4 linked regions of the Mus musculus genome follow. The protein of the gene in region 2 interacts with the protein of the main gene of each other region in a pairwise test. Links are inferred from orthologs where the notes say so. Each region holds a gene or a part of one and is shown on either strand. Other genes may lie near its edges.

Evidence for each region. The genes of interacting proteins can lie anywhere in the genome.
Region 1: the proteins of Psme3 (region 2) and Tnfaip8l1 interact in binary tests that used the Homo sapiens proteins (3 or more experiments, as listed by UniProt). The two-hybrid records come from large-scale screens. The link is inferred for Mus musculus from reciprocal best matches to the Homo sapiens genes PSME3 and TNFAIP8L1.
Region 3: the proteins of Psme3 (region 2) and Wdr25 interact in binary tests that used the Homo sapiens proteins (3 or more experiments, as listed by UniProt). The two-hybrid records come from large-scale screens. The link is inferred for Mus musculus from reciprocal best matches to the Homo sapiens genes PSME3 and WDR25.
Region 4: the proteins of Psme3 (region 2) and Eaf2 interact in binary tests that used the Homo sapiens proteins (3 or more experiments, as listed by UniProt). The two-hybrid records come from large-scale screens. The link is inferred for Mus musculus from reciprocal best matches to the Homo sapiens genes PSME3 and EAF2.

The regions. Positions count from the first base shown.
Region 1 is NC_000083.6:56,161,191-56,165,299, reverse strand, and holds the start of Tnfaip8l1 (tumor necrosis factor alpha-induced protein 8-like protein 1), read right to left. Parts: upstream 2,810-4,109; 5' UTR 2,694-2,809; intron 1-2,693. UniProt on the Homo sapiens protein: Acts as a negative regulator of mTOR activity.
Region 2 is NC_000077.6:101,314,889-101,319,015, reverse strand, and holds the start of Psme3 (proteasome activator complex subunit 3), read right to left. Parts: upstream 2,804-4,127; 5' UTR 2,570-2,803; coding exon 2,528-2,569; intron 2,426-2,527; exon of another isoform or gene 1,996-2,425; coding exon of another isoform or gene 1,921-1,995; intron 1,836-1,920; coding exon 1,803-1,835; intron 1,688-1,802; coding exon 1,625-1,687; intron 1,394-1,624; coding exon 1,289-1,393; intron 1-1,288. UniProt on the Homo sapiens protein: Subunit of the 11S REG-gamma (also called PA28-gamma) proteasome regulator, a doughnut-shaped homoheptamer which associates with the proteasome. 11S REG-gamma activates the trypsin-like catalytic subunit of the proteasome but inhibits the chymotrypsin-like and postglutamyl-preferring (PGPH) subunits.
Region 3 is NC_000078.6:108,892,944-108,897,080, reverse strand, and holds the start of Wdr25 (WD repeat-containing protein 25), read right to left. Parts: upstream 2,810-4,137; 5' UTR 2,768-2,809; exon of another isoform or gene 1,192-2,767; intron 190-1,191; exon of another isoform or gene 22-189; intron 1-21.
Region 4 is NC_000082.6:36,825,451-36,829,483, forward strand, and holds the start of Eaf2 (ELL-associated factor 2), read right to left. Parts: upstream 2,810-4,033; 5' UTR 2,707-2,809; coding exon 2,601-2,706; intron 1-2,600. UniProt on the Homo sapiens protein: Acts as a transcriptional transactivator of TCEA1 elongation activity. Acts as a transcriptional transactivator of ELL and ELL2 elongation activities. Potent inducer of apoptosis in prostatic and non-prostatic cell lines.

The sequences.
Region 1 (4,109 bases), on a different chromosome or scaffold from region 2:
ATGCTGTAGCCCAGGCTACCTTTGGATTTACCATGATCCTCCTGGCCCAGCCTCTTAGGTGTGTCCCACCACGCCCAACATCCACTCATGGTTTTAACAAAAGGGAAATATGAAGGTTATCAGTGTGCACATTCAGCCCCAGGATGTATTGGCTTCTTCCATTTCCAACGGTCTGAAGCCTCCATCCTGGTTCCTCTCACCCTATCCAGGATTCCTGAAATGCCAGAAGCCCCTGTGAGCACTGAGTTCGCTCCCCTCTCTGCCCTCATCCCTCCATGGTCCCATCTCCCTCTGCTGCAGCCACAGTGCCTCCTCCATTCACCTCTTGAACACCAGGCTCAGTCCTGCCCCAGGACCTTTACACATGCTGAGCCCGGCACTTACAATAGTCTTCCTCAGGTTGCTATGTGGCTGTTTTACCCTGGAACTCTCAGATCTCTCCACGAACACTCAGTTCCCCGGTTCCTTCCTCTTCTTACAGTTACTATTATAGTTCAGGACAGAGTCCAGCATTACCAACTGTGAGGCAGGAGGATGGTGGGCACTGGGCCAGCTTCAGTCACTGCTGTGTGCTGGCGACATTAGCTACCACACTTCAGTTATCTCAGTGTTCAGGGACAGTTTATCAAATGACTAAGTAACTTCTCATGGTTATGACAAAAGGAGAAACTGAGTCAGGGGCCTGGGAGCTGACAGATATGCACAGAATAACACCAGGCTAGAACTGGGACTTGAATCCAGCCCTTACCTGGAAGCTCATTGCATTACAACCTTTCCCTGGGGTCCACCCTAAAATTTGGGAGCCTAATGATCTAGTCTGGGAATCTTCCAGAGCTATGCACACGGTCAACCCTACCACGGTTCTTTCTTTGGTCAGGACTACAGAAGACCCCACCTGCACAGCACCCTCTGGAGTGGTTACCTCCGCTGGTTTCCACATGGGGAAACACAGGGTTGGGGCTCAGAAAAACCATGCAGGGGAGACACTGGGGTTCTTGGAGGAGTGAGCTCACTGGGCCCCCGGATCAAGTCTCACTCTCTTTAAGCCTCCACTAAGCCCTGGATGGCACCTGAGTCAGTGGGTGGCACGCCTTCCTGTGGCCATGATTATTTGGCCTGTATGCTGAGTCCCCTCATACGGAATCAGATTTTTGTGAGGTGAGTCCTAGCTTGCCTAGGGCTGAGAGAGTAAACTGAGGGACAAGTCTCTATGTCTCTTCATACCCTCAGGATCCACCACTCACCCATTACGGAACTAGCAGCCCTGGCCCAAGTCTGGCTCACCATGTGTGGGAAGGCCCAGGGCAGGTGTTCTGTGATGACTCTCTTTGTTCTGTTACATTGTACAGTCCCCATGGCCCCGCCCTCATCCCTCCCAGTCACCCACATCCTAGGTGCGGCCCAGATCATGAACTTATTATGTTTTAAAGTTGTCGCTGCCTGTGTTGATCTGCCAGGGTTGTAGAGGGCTCAGCACGCACAAAGGTCTCAAGTGCAAGGACATTCCATGTGGAGAAGAGGCGGCCACTTTGAGGTCCCAGGACAGAAAAACAGGAAGTTTGGCACTCAAAGCCTACATTCCTGTTCTCTCTCTCTCTCTCTCTCTCTCTCTCTCTCTCTCTCTCTCTCTCTCTCTCTCTTTCTCTGTTGGCTGTTGTTTGTTACAGGATCTCTATACATAGTTATGGCTAGCCTGGAACTCACTTTGTAGACCTGGCCTCAAACTTACAGGCATCCACCTGCCTCTATTCTAAGCACTGGGTAAATGGGTAAATGTCCTGGTATATGTTGTGTTTGGGCCGGAACCCAAGGCCTCTTGCTTACTAGGTGAGCACTCTACGCACTGGGCTACACCCTAGGGTCCCTTTTGTTTTAGAGACAGCCTCGGTGTGTAGCCCACCCTGGCTCAGCCTCTCTTTTGTCTGTTTAAGCACCCCCAAGAAGCCTCAGGGAGTCACGAAACAACTGTCCCAAGTCAGACAGGGAAACTGAGGCTTATAATTAAGTTACTTGTTCAAGTGAGTCAGGTTTGTCTGAGCTGTGTCCTAACCCCAAGGCAAGGTGTTCAGAGGCGTCACAGCCTGGAGCTCGGGAAGTGACCCAGAGGCCTGTTTCCAGTTTAGTGTTCCACCCTGTCCCTCTCCAGCCCCGCTGCTCACAAAGGTGACAAACCAGAATATGGTTCTGGAGACAGTGTCTCCATCTCTCTGGCCATCCGCAGCCCATATTCTGGACCCCAGTTTATCCTCCAAACCAACACTGAAAGAGCCAGGAGGCTGCAGACCTGGATCAGGTCACCTGCCAATTATGTGACAGCCACTGTCCCAGTTCCCAGATGGTAAAACTGAGTTCAAGCCCTCGGGCAATGGGAAGCTTGAAGTGCCAGTCCCAGTCAGGGTAACCCTGCACCAGCCAGAGCCACAGTGGGGTCCAGCTGGCTACCTCAGAGAATACCTAGACCATTCTGGAGTCAGGCTGCACACTTGTACAGAGCCAAGTCCATCAAGTGTCCTCTTGAGGACATGTGTTAGGACTATTACAGTAGCCCACAGCAACCTGCTCACAACACCCATGCTCCCACAGTCAGTAATAGGTATACAGAGGAAACTGAGGCGGGATATACAGAGGACGGTGTGGGGATAGGAGGGGACGGAAAGAACCCAGGATAGCCAATGCAGGACCCCATCGCTCACCTGCTCCTCGGGATGTGTCAAGCCTTCAGTTTTCTGTAGGTGCCTCTGTGGGGCCAGAGGCATTGGCCGCTGGATCTGAGCCCGGCCGCTGGCTAGGAGGCCACGCCCCCGAGAAAGGGCTCGCCCCCTCTAAACGCTCACTGGCTCAGCAAATGGTAGCGCACAGGCAGTGTACGAAGGAGCCAATGGCAGCAAGCCTCTGCCAGGAGGTGGGAGGCATGACGCGGGCGTGGGCGAGGGCGTGGTCTGCGGCCGGGAGATTCCTCCGGAATAGCGCCGGCGCTGGGTGCCCAGCGCAAGGGATGCCGTGGCGGGAAAGTGTTGGAAGGAAGAGGAAGGAGACTGAGACAGAGAAAAATGGGGTATACGTGCACCGCGCGACAGAGATCTGAGAGGCCAAAGCGAAGAGAGGCGCCTCCGCGAGACACCTGCATCCCTCTGAGCGGGTCTCAGTTTACCCACTAGGTAGTTAGAGTGTCACCTGGGACTCCCATGACAAATGCACCCCAACATTTGCCTTGCAACAATTTTGGGGTTCCTGAGTACTGCGGAGACTCTCTTTCAGTTGGTGTCTCTGGAGTAAGGGGGGAGGCACTGTGATGACCTCCCTGACAGAGGCCAGACAGGGCCAGCTACCTCCCAGGGGGCAGCTGTGAGACCTGGAAAATCAGTCTGGGAGTGATTCCCACACTCCCACCACCCCCAACCCATCCCCAACACCCCCACCTTACTCCAAACTCCACCCCAACTCAACCACGGGTCTGCACTTCCTGTGCCTGGATGGCCCTGTCACAGCAAGGACACTTGGAAAAGCCTCATCTGCCATCTTCCCTCTTCAGAAAGCCCCCTCAGGTGTTTGCTGACTGCATTCTAACCTTCCTTGCATGAGCCTTAACACACAAAACTAAATCCAGGCTTTTGAGAGATAGAAATTGAGACCCAGAGAAACCTTAAGTGACTTGCCTAGAGCAGCACAGACCCAAGTGGCTTTCCTGATTTCAGATTGTCTGTGCTCTGGGCCAGGAACTTACAAGTTCAGTAGCCATCCCAGCTCTGCCGGGTGCTGAACATGGCCTCTATCTGCTCTGTACCAGGAGCTCACCCTTGTGACAGCCACACAGGACCCTAGACAGAGCTCAGTATCAAAGACAGAGACCACAGCTCTAGGTTTTTCATACCCCAGTATGAGCCAGGGCAATTAGTGTGTTTTTGAGGTGTGTGGGGGGAAGCAGGTGTCACTGAAGCAGGTTTGGGGGCTTCTGATTTTTGAGCACTTAGAGTCTGAGGAACCCACAGATATCATAGGTGTGATAAAGTGGGGATCAAACCCAGCTGTGTGGGTTCAGGGCTAGAGCCTACCCCTCCCACTTGCCTAGAGTCCCGTGGTGAGAGGCTGGGTCGTGGACAGGGTGGAGC
Region 2 (4,127 bases):
GGAAAGTTCCACTTCAAAAATAAGAAGAAAGCAATCAAGGCAGGTAGGGGATAACTGAGGGAGTATGCATGGATCCTTTGGCTCTAATATGAAGAAATTCCTGATTCAGCAATCTCAGCCCATTACCTTCTATATGGTAGAAGTAATGTTAGGAGCTAAGGATTCAGACTACTGAGGCGTCTCCTAACTGCAGGTTTATCTTGATTTTTAAAGAAAGTATCCCAGTATGTGTCCCAGCTAGCCTTCAACTTCCTATGTATCCCAGGCTGGTCATGAACACACAATTCTCCTTCTCCAGGCAAGCTGAATGCTCAGCCACCGTACTCGGCTTAATTAGTTATAATTAAGAAAGTCCTGAAAGCTAGGAATATAAATCAGTGGTACAGCATTTATAGTTTTTTTTTAAGATTTATTTATTATATGTAAATAAATCTTATATGTAAAAATTATATGTAAATACACTGTGGCTGTCTTCAGACACACCAGAGGAGGGCGTCAGATCTTGTTACGGGTGGTTGTGAGCCACCATATGGTTGCTGGGATTTGAACTCATGACTTTCAGAAGAACAGTCGGTGCTTTTACCCGTTGAGCCATCTCAACAGCCCGGTACAGCATTTATATAGCATGCACAAGACCCTAGGCTCAACTTCTAGGACAGAAAAAACAAAACAAAACAAAAAAAAACCAAGCAACAGCAACAAAATACCAAGCCACAGGAATCTAGATCAAACTATAGCATAGGCGGCGTTCTAACACAATACAGACATGCAACTAATACACTATCAGTGCCAGCTGGCAATAGCCTAGCATTTAGATGGCAGGGCAGGCAGATCTTAATGAGTCTGAAGCCAACCTGGTCTACCTAGCCTGCATAAGGAGTTCCAAGCTAGCCAGGGCTACATAGTCAGATGCTGTCTCAAAAACAAAGCAAAGAGCAAGTAAAGACAGAGACTGCAGCTGTGCAGCAAAACCAGCTGTTCCTCCCATCTGTGAGCACAGCACACTGAACAGAAAAGGCTTATTCCCAAGCAGGCGGAAAGCCAGGTAGCTGAAGGAAGCCTGTGGCTAGTTTAGAACTAATGAAAACCTGGGCTAACATTGAGAGCAGCACTAACATAACTTACCTTGCCAAAACTGAAACTAATGGTCCAAAAAGTAGCATCCTACAATCACCACACCTACAACAGAACCCCAGACCCCACAGGCAAATCCCACATACTCCGGACATCCCCAAGCTTACCAAAACATAAAATACTAAGAACACAAACATAAATGCAAGACACTCACACCATCCAGTCCATCGTGGCTATTGGTGAGGAGAATGGGGTCAGGGACTGGGAGGTTCATGTCTGAGTGGATCTGAGTTAGGTCATGGATATTTAGAATTGGTTCCTGAAAGAGAGGCATTCACCCCAAAACAGTATTAGTGTAAGTTTAAAACAAAATCAAAAACAAGGAGAGAGAGAAAGAGAGAGAGAGAGAGAGGAGTATTTCTTGTGAAATCGAAGAAAAAAAAGAATGCTTTACAGTACACAAGAGAACAGAATCAACACACAATCTGCCCCGCCTGTCACAAAGACAGGGACCAAAGAAGTAATTTAAAGAAACAAAAGTGTCTCTCACCTTCAAAAAACTATCAAGTTCTAGTAACTTCTTTGGGAAAAAATTTGCCACCAAGTCTTCTGCCTAGACAGAGAGAATACACCTGAATTAATAAACGTGGGACAGTCCCTCACTACAGATCTTTTGGGGACACCCCCAGCTATTAACCATCACCACTTTTCTCCTTTACAACACTCACCTCACTTGTGATCCGCTCTCTGAAAGAATCAACCTACAATGAACAGAGAGAGCAACTTAACACCTAGTGATACAAGGGCATGGATGGGGAACCCCAAATCCAGCTGTCTCGCCCTCACCTTGAAATTATAATTAGAAGGTGAGAGGCCCCCAGACTGCAAATACTTCATCTTTTTCAAGATCCATTTCTCCATCTCGGGAGAGGATGTTCGGGTTACAGGCCAGCACCTGTCTCCCCTTCTCTCCCTTCCTACCCACCCCTCACCTCCCTTTGTCCCTCCCTCCAGTTGTCTAAAACCCTCTCAATTTCATAAGCAGACAAAAGCCAGACTGGAAGAAGTGAGCTCACAAACGTGCCAACTCCCACCCAGACCTGGCCCCATCCTACGCAGTAAGCCAGCCTCCAAGGGCAGGGTCAGTGGCAGCGTCCGGGGGCGGGGACGTGGCTGGGCCAGGGGACTTCCACCTGTCATTAGCCTAAAGCATTGAGTTTAACACGTGTCCGCGGAGGAGTCCCTGGTGCACTCCATCACCAGAAGCAGGACAGAAAGCCACCCTATACGGTCCTCTCCAATGCCGTCTCCAGGCGTGGGGGGCTGGGTTGAGCCAGGCGGAAGCTCAGAGCTGGTGTCCCCAGGGAGACAAAGACGACATAGGGAGTGGGGAGCAGATCCGACTGCTGGGGGTTCGAAGGGAGGGATGAGGGGGCCGGAGCTATGCCGCTACCTTGAGCTTCACTTCCTGATCCACCTTCAGCAACGAGGCCATGGCCAGGCCGGGCCGTGTCCGCTCCGCTGGGTGCCGGAGGTGCTCTGGGCTCCGGGGAGGGCACCGGAGGGGCCTGAGGAATCTCCGTTGCCCTCGGGACCCGGGCACCCTCGCTGGCTTGCTCACCGCTTGCTCGTCCCCTCCCTCCGTGCCGGCCGGCCACCCGCCCGCCCGCCTGCTGGCTGCTTGCTCTCTCGCTCGCCCTCCCGGCTTTCGCCGCTCACGCCGGAAGTTGCGTCACAGCCAATCGCCGGCACTCCGGGGAGGATGAGCACGTGCCCTGCGCAGCCGCTCTGATACTCAGTTCTACAGGTTCCTGGAGGGGCTGTCGGAGCTTCCGGGCCTTGTGCCCTGTGGTGGTCAACCTAGGACAGGGATGCTGAGATCCAAACCTCCTGGGGACTCAAGAGTGATGTGTCTTATTGTCCCGGAACTCGACTTCACCGTGGGACCTCATGTGCCGGGGCTTCTGGAAGAGTAGGCGTCGCGCCCTAGTGACGTGAGCCGGAGAAGCCCGCGGCCCGGGTCCCTAGTTTAAGGTTCCGGGCTGTGACTGCTGACTCCCGCCTCCCGTCCCTCGGGCTAGTGTCAAACCGAAGACGCGTTCCATTGCACCGGGCTTTCCGGGGAAAGTTATCATAAACGTGCAGACCTCAGATACCAAATACCTGAAGGACAAATTCACGCCCAAAACAGCCTCGTGGCTTATCTAAGACACAACACGTTGCTTCCAATGACTTGACTAGAATCAAATCCTCCCAGTTCTAGAGGAAAAAGGTTACCATTTTCCTAACGCAAGTCTGAGACAGCATCTCCTCTTTCAACAATTAGGCAGTGTATCTTTTAGTTTGTGTTATTCCATGCAATCAAATGGAGTAGGGGTATGTGCTAGACCCCAGAAAAGTATTCTGGAGAGACTAGAAATGTGCGCATCATGTATATAGGGTAAAGTCTTCTAGCAGACACATTTTTTAAAAATTAAATAACTTTAGCCACTTCCTTTTTCTTTTCTTTTTTTCTTTCTTTTCTTTTCTTTTTCTTTTTCTTTTTTTTCTTTTTTTTTTTTTTTGGCGGGGGGAGGGGGGTTCGAGACAGGGTTTCTATGTGTAGCTCTGGCTGTCCTGAAACTGACGTTGTAGACCAGGCCTGGCCTCAAACTCAGAAATCTGCCTGCCTCTGTCTCCCGAGTGCTGGGATTAAAGGCGTGTGCCACCACTGCCCGGCTTAGCCACTTTCAATAACATTTATATTACAATGCAGTCAGCCTTTTGTATCTGGATTTCCAAATCACCGGGTCAACCAACTAAATGGAAAATATTCAGGAAACTTGAGCTACAAGGACCTAAAAGATGGATGACATAGTGGGAATTAAGGTACTCGCCTGTAAGCCTAGCTATGTAAATTCAATCCTTAGACACATACAGTATGAGAAAGAACCCCTGCAAGTGGTCCTATTACCTCTGCGCACACATTAGAAAGTAAGCAAGCAGCCATAGTAAATAATGACTTTAAATGCCTGAGCTTCGGAGTAAGGCCATATCTAAAAAGTAACAAAACA
Region 3 (4,137 bases), on a different chromosome or scaffold from region 2:
CCAGGCTGACCTCACACTTACCGAGATCCTTCTGCCTCTGCTTCCTTAGTGCTGGGATTAAAGGCCTGGGCCTCCACTTCCTGGTTTTACAGATAATTTTTTAAATGGAAACCTCTGTGGGGCTGGGGCTAAAGCTCGCTGACAGAATTCTTGTCAACACATGCAAGGTTCTGGGTTTGCCCCTCCGCACTGCAAAGCAGAAGAGAAGAAAAAAGAGAATGTAGAAAAAGAGCACGAGGGCAAGAGGGACCTGGGTATGGCAGCACCCACCTTTGAGCCTAGCATTCGTGATGCTGAGGCAGGAGGATTATGACTTCAAGGACACCCTGGGATACCTAGGCAAGACCCAGTCTTTAAAAACAAACAACCTCAGCCTGGAGATGATGATGTACACCTATAATCCCAGCACTCAGGAGGCAGAGACAGGTGGATTTCTGAATTCGAGGCAGCCTGATCTGCAGAGTGAGTTCAAGGACAGCCAGGGTCACACAGAGAAACCCTGTCTCTAAAAACAAACAAACAAAAAAAAAGAAAAAATCCGTGTCCAGAGAAACAGAGCAACTGCAGAGTACTGCCCGGGCACGTACAAAGCCCAGGTTGGGTCCTAAGTCACCAGTCAACCCAACTGTGGCAAGAGCAATTCTAAACATGGCATCCAAATCTGTTTGTTTCACCCCAAATGCATAGGTTCACAGGGTACTAAATTTCCATTCAAAAGTTTTTCCTGGAATTCTGAGCATTCACAAATTTCTATCAGCTAGTTCTCAGTAAGAATTGCTTTGGTCTAAAACTCAGTATTAATTCTGTGAGTACAGACAGAAAGAAAATAAGGATGCTGAGCATATCTCAGCCAGCAGAGGGTGGAGTGGGACAAAGTGCAAGCCTGGGCCATGGACCAGCTAGCCCGCTTCTTTTTTTATGCTTGTGTGTTTGCTGTGTAAGTGTATGCATGCCTATGCGAATGTGCAAACCTGTTCTCCTAAATACAAGGAGGCCAGAAGATGGAGTCCTGTGCTGTTTCACTTTCTATCTATTCGAGACATAGTCTGTCTGTGACCTCTTACAGGTTGAGTTACAAGCAAGTGTGAAATGGCTTGTTACATGGGTGCTGGGATCCAAACTTTGGTCTTCATGATTTCAAAACAAGTGTCTTTAACAGATGAACCTCCCTAGCCCATTACAAGTACTCACTATGTAAGCCAGGCTGGTCTTAGTCCAGTCTTCCTGCCTCAGCCTTCAGAGTGCTGGCATTACAAGTATATATCACCATGTCAGATCACACACTGGGCTCCAAAATTCCACTCAAAGCCTTCCACATCTGTCCCCTAATGGCATTATTTGCCCTAAGAATCCCACTGCCATACAAGTCTGCTCATCATCCAATGCCTGTAGCTATCATTCCTACCAGCAGCTGAATCCAGGCAGGTAACAATGTCCACATTTAGAAACATCTTCGAAAAAGGACTTCTAAAACCAGCTTTCCACTCTCCAACCAAACTAAGATCCCACTAGAGACTAACCACACAGAGATAGACCCATGCTCTGCAAATAATTTGATCTCTACATATTCAGCAGGGAGTTGAGGCCAATCTCCTGGTTCCTCAAATGAAACCCATCTGATTCCCACCACCATACTATATAGAGCTCGGTCACAGCCTGGGTTTTAAGCTACACGGTTATCTGCAGGGTAGACTCACAAAAGAGGCCTATAGCAGATCTGAGGACAGTGTGGCTCATCAGCTCCACAGGGGATAGAAAATGAACGACAGCAAGGGACTGGACACCAGATGCACCACACATAGATTTCATTCTCTCACTCAACATCTGCCACAGTAGGCAAAACAGTAAATGATGTCCTTCATTCATCACACTCCCAAGCCATAGAAAGACAAAAACATCCCTGACTCGTGAGCCAGACGATGTCGTGGACTTGTGAACTCAAAAGGAAAAGGATACAGGGTAGCTGGGCCCAAGACTGCATCTTTTTCTGGAGCTGAGACAGGTCTCAGAGAGACTACACCAGTGTGACGCTCTGAAGAGGTTGAGGGAACTAAGGTGTTCACAATACTGTGACTAAAACAGAACCAATACCAATGAAGAGGAGTCAAGGGTGAGTCAAGAAAACATATATGAAGGGAGACGGCTGAGAGAGATGCACACCGTTTAGGAGATGATGGTAGCCATCTTGTACCCAAGTCCAAAAAATGCCATGAGAAAGGGGGGGGGGGGGAGGTGAAACCAAGAGGAAGAGGCTAAATGGGGGAAAAAGAGGACTGAGGACTGAAGTCGAATACTGAAAAGCTAAAGGGAGCACGGATACATGGGGCAGGGTGTCCTGTGTGCTTAGCTCACTGTCCAAGAAGCCTCAATCTGGATGAATTTGCAGACAGCAAGGTGATGGGGCAGGGAACTGGGAAAGTTAAAGACAGAATTTTCCCGTTCAACACACGGGTCCTAGTTTCCTACTCTGTGTTAGGCACTATGATAGATCTGATGTGGGTAGAAATTCACACGGATCTTGCCCCAGAGGCCATGGATACAGGATGGGAAACAAAAAACAGACACGGGTTTTGAAGGATGAGTAAGTTAGCCAAGCTGTCAACACTAATGGGTAAAGAGTTCAGAGCACAGCACTCTAGGAATGAACGGGAAGAACAGGAAGGCAAGCGGCGAGCTGAGCCCGGCGCTAAGAAGCGAGAAGCATGCGGCCGCCACATCCCGGCCCCCTCCCTCCCGGGCCCGCCGCTCACCACACACACACACACACGGAAGCTCTTGGTCCACCCCTACAACGGTCCGGCCAGCACTCGGGCCGCCCAGTCGCGTTCCACCACGACGCCAGCAATTTCAGCCAATCGGAGATGGTCTCTGCCCTCCTCTGCCTGGACAGCCAATAGCGGCATGCCGAGACCGGAAGTTATTCCAGCCGGCTGGTGTTTCCACGGACGCCCAAGAGGTACCGGTGGCTGAACTTGGGGGTGCTGACTGGTGGGGCCGAAGTGGGGGCCGCCGGTAAGTGAGGAGGGGGTGGTCACTGCGCCGGGAGCGAGGGAGGGATGCCGAGGTGGCGCCGGGGCCTTCGGTTGACGCCCCGGCGCCGCGCCCCGAGGATCCAGCTCGGAACCGGGCTGTCTGTTCTCTGGGCACCTGTACCACGAGGGACCGGGAGGCTGCGGCGGCGCCGCCCACCCAGCCTGTCATCGTTTCCCACCGCCTGGGCTTTGCCCTGTAGGATCTCTTTGCCCTGTACGAAGTGTTTGTAAAGCCCCTGGTGCCCGTTTCACAGATGAGGAATCCTAAAGAGAAGCAGAGAAGGAACGCTACTTGCCCACGGTTTTATGATAGCACACCAAGCTCTATGTCCAACATTAAAAGCCTATCTTTCCGCTGCAGTGCACAACTTCAGAGCAAGGCTGCTTCGGGAAGGCAGTGATGTACAAAGCGATATGCCCGTCCTATTTGTCGCTACACTACACACAATTGCAATGATGCTGTGGGGGCGGGAAAGGAAGAGGGTGGGGAGGTCATATGGCGGTCAACCTGAAGAAAGGGACAGCTGATGCAATGCAATGACAAGTAGCTCCGGGCTCTTGAGAGTTTGGTTGGCCTCAGCCGCCTCCTCCCACGGCCCAAGTAGCTAGCCAGTGGCTGGACTTGCTCTTGAAGAAAGCTGGGCAAATGGCTCAAATGCTTTTGGGAACCTGAGTGATTTCTAGGAAACCCCTCAGTAAGTGAAACTGAAAGGGTGTGGCAAAGCAGATAAGAAAAACAATAGTCTCTTCTAAAAAAAAAAGAAAAAAAAAAAGAAACAAACAAAGAAACTGAAAGGGGAAGAGGAGAGTATTAAAGACCTCCACCCTGGCTGGGCAGTCTCATATGTTCAGCTGTCCAGCTTGAGCACCCTTGGACTACACAGCCAGGGTACGTATTGCCTTCTCTGCTAGGCTAGCAGCGTGTTTTCTGTTGTTGCAGTGGTTTGGTTTGGGTCACCTACCTCATATGAGAGCATTGAAGACTTGAGGAGGGTGTGTGTCTGGATTGGGATGTTGTGCATGTATTTCATCTAGTTGACTCAGGTTCAGGTGATGCCCTGGTTTTGAGTAGATGTGGTGGGTGCCCAGTGACCTGTTTGCATTC
Region 4 (4,033 bases), on a different chromosome or scaffold from region 2:
AGCAAGTTGCATGCATCAGTACTCCTCGTACATAATTGAATAGAACTCATAAAAACTAATGGTGGCTATTATTTATTCTTTACCATGTTCTAAATACCATGTTAGATTCTTTTTTATGTTACCACAACCTCTCTAGGAAAGAATCCAAAAAGGTAGATATTACCATTTTCACCTATGAATACTGTGGTTGAAAGCTTAGAGACTGTTCCCAAAGTCACGTTACACACAGGTTTGGTGAAGTTCAGGGTTCACATACAGGCTTATCTGAAGCATTCGTATAAAAGATAGGCAAGATTTATCCCATATATGAGACAAAACAATACTTAATCTCAAATAGCATTGGCTTGAGTGGTTTAAATTAGGTCCACCTGCTCTGCATAAATGTCAAATACTATATGATATAGTTTCCATTCCTTACGAGTTCTTGAGACTGAGGGGACACTGGAAATGAACCTGTTCAAATAAACCTAAAAGGATTCTGTGTAATATTATACTTAATTGGATAGGGTGGGGCGGGGGGGGGGGGAGACAGTATTTTTTTAAGTCTTCTGCAGGACTAAGGGTGGAGTCTAAGCTTGTTTACTGTGCTTGTGATTATGCTTTGTCTTTTGGCATATGCTTGTTTATTGTCATTCTTGTGGCTCGATTATCCGACTCTAATTTGGAAAATATGTTTTCAACATCTTAAGAACTTTTGTAAAGCCGGGATGTAGCTCAGCGATAGAGCACTTGACTAGTATGCACAAAGCCCTGGGTTTGAGTTCTAACGCTGTAATTAATCCTGTAAAGAACCCATAAATAAAAGTCTTAGGAACACCTGCAAGGCACTTTTCAAAAGCTGTATTTCATTCATTTAATTTTGGATTTGCATCTGTAGGAAGAGAATGCATATCTAAGCTGTAAAATATATATACATCGAGGGACTGGAGAGATGTTTCAGAAGTTAAGAGCACCACTGGCTGTTCTTACAGAGAACTTGGGTCCTTCTCAGCACCAGCATCAGGTCACTGATAGCCACGGTTAACTCCACTTACAAGGGACTTGAGGCTCTCTTGCGGTCTCTGAGGGCACTGCATAATATGATGTGCATATATAGACTCAGGCCCACACATACACATAAAAAAAATAAACATATCTATCACTAAATAACTTTTTTGTAACTTTAAACTTTGTACTGAAAAACAAAAGATCACTGCATGCCTGAGAAGAAGGAAGAGGAAAAGGACATAGTACTTGGGAAAGGGGCATTGAGAGGTCAGTTAAGAACAGTACCTTGCTTTTGGAAAGGGGAGAGACAGAGAGACAGAGAGAGAGAGGGGGAGGGAGGGGAGGGAGGGAGGGAGGGAGGGAGGGAGGGAGAGAAGGAGAGAGGGAGAGAGAGAGAGAGGGAGAGAGAGAGGGAGGGAGAGAGGGAGAGAGACTATGGCTGCACAACACTCACTGATTCATTGTGGGGAACTCTGGATGGTAACCCAGAGCAAAATAAACAAGGAGCACTACTGAAGTTCTGTTGGTAAACTTCTCCCATTTATTCCACCAAAACATGATATTTTTGCTTAATGCAGCCTTTTTATAAAGCTTAAATATAATCAATGGAAGGTTAAACCCATTGGTTCTTCCTACATTTACTCTGAGTTATTATAGATGAATTGTCTACAACTTAAACTTTGAAGACTGAGTTTTAAATGAGTGTTTTTCAGAATATAAACCTTGTAAGGAAAAGGACAGAATGGTGGAGAATGTAGGACAAGCAGACAGTAAAGAAGAGCTGGGCTGCAAAAGAGATGTGAAAAAAAATCTACAATTTCACACACACACACACACACACACACACAGAGGTCACAACTCAGTGACCTTTCCCTTATGCGCTAGAATTCTGTGGCCTATTATGCAAAAAAGAAGTTTTACATACAAAATTAAGTTATATTTTTCGTGCTGGCATCTCATTTAATTACTAAAACGAAAAGGCTCATTATAACCTCTTTTTCAACAATATTAGAGATAACCTATTAAAATAGATCCCAGAGAACAAAACACCAAAGGGTAGAAATCATTAGGAGGTAGATTTTTAAAGTAAAGAAACTAGATAAAAAAATCTTTCAATTTTTGATAATCAGTAATTACTTAGTTGACCATGAAATCTGAGATGGAAAGAGATACAAACGATTGAGACAGCTGACAATCTCTTCCCAAGAACAAACTAAATGGGAACCCTCATCAGCCAGAATGGGGAAGAAATGTCCTTGTGGCCTCTCCACATCACTTTTGCCCTGCATTCGGTCCTTTGTTCCATCTGTCTGTCACCTTTTCAAACTCTGCACCATCCACTTGTCACGCTAGTCTCCACAGCCACCCGTGCAGATCGTCCCACAAAACTTCCTCTCAGGTCTGTCAGTCTCACTTAAACCCTTCCAGGGTTCTCCTACACTGTGGGACGCCAGGTGCCTGCACAGAGGCTGGCAACTGGGTAGTGGATCACTGTGCCATCTGGTCTCCCGGGGAGCAAAGAGCGGCGGGGACAGAATTACAGAATCCGGAGGAGTCTGTCTCCATACCACCCTCCCATCCCAGAAGGAACCCGGGGTACAGTCTGCACTCACAGCGCACGGTGTGGAAGGCACAGCGCGGCTGCTTCTCGAAACTTTCGCCTAGCTTGAGAACCCGCTCGCGACGGTCCAGGTATGCAAGTCCCGCTGGTCCACTCATCCTCGTCCCCTGCCTCCCGCTTTTGGCCTTCGCCGTCCCCTGCCACAGCCTCTGGAACAGCTGCACTGGCTGCGAGCTTGAGTTCGGTGCCCGGGACCAGCTCCTTTCACCTCCAGACGCGTGCGGCCGCCCCTTGGAGCGCCCCGAGTCTTGATTGGCTGTCTGGAGACACCTGCCCCGCCCCTCGCCCCAGGGCCCCGCCCCGCCCCTGGCCACCATCCCCGCCCCTAGCCCCCTTCCCGCGTCGCGACGCACACAGCTCGGCGGAGACCGCCTCGCTGAGGTACGCTGTGCGGGTCGGGCCCTGAGGTGGACGGACGCGGGGAAAGAGATGAGGTAACAGACCCGAGATGGCGGCTGGGATGGAGGAAAGGCCCTAGGGGGGCGGGGAAGCTAGGACGCCAGACACCCAGGGCAGAACTGCCTGGCGGGGCCTGGTAACGGGAGCGTGGGCCTCCTCCGCGCCGGGCCCGCAGGTTTGGTGTGGAAACGGACGCCTGACGAGAGGTGGCGGCCGGGCCCAGGCCTGGGGCCTCCTGAGGCCTAGCTGCTCTGAGGCGGGTCTGGAACCCCAGCCGCGCCCCCTCAGGTGATGTGACCAGACTGGAAACCTCTGGAAGCCGCGCAGTTACCTTTAAGGGCCGTTCATTTATTTATTTTTTCTTCTTTCTTTCTTTCTTATTTATTTATTTATTTATTTATTATTTTTTAATTAGCCCTTTAAAAACACAGGCTTTTCCCGCCGGGGTTAGGACCTGAGGAGGGGGCGTTTCCGGAGGCGACGGAGAAGCCTAGGGTTAGGGGTAACTGACTGCTGTACGTTTGTTTCTGGCATTTGTTTCTGTAGTGATTCCTGGAAGCACTGAAGAGCGCGGCCTTGGGACTCTTGATTTCTCAGAGATCAGTCTAGCAGTAGGGTAAGAGCGTCAATTGATTGATAATTGCCTTCACACACACACACACACACACCCCACCTCACAGAAGTGTTATGAAGTAGGAGAAAGCGTGCTTTGTATTGGAGGATTATTCAGAGAAAGTCTACAGTGAGCCCCCTCAGGTGATTCTTCAGGTTAATTGTGGCATCAGACTATGCTTTCAGCACTTCTACCTTAAATAGGTTTGTCAATTTATTTTTTTCAGATGGATGAGGGATTATTTTTTGCCTTCTACCCTTTAAAGATACAAGGAGAGATTGTTCAATGTATTTATGCACGAAGGTTCTGAAGCCAGAATCTCTGGGCTTGTACGTCAGCTTCATACTCTCAATGTGATTTTTGTGCAAGCAAATCAAACAAATGTGTTTATCATTAGAATTGGGGAAATAATA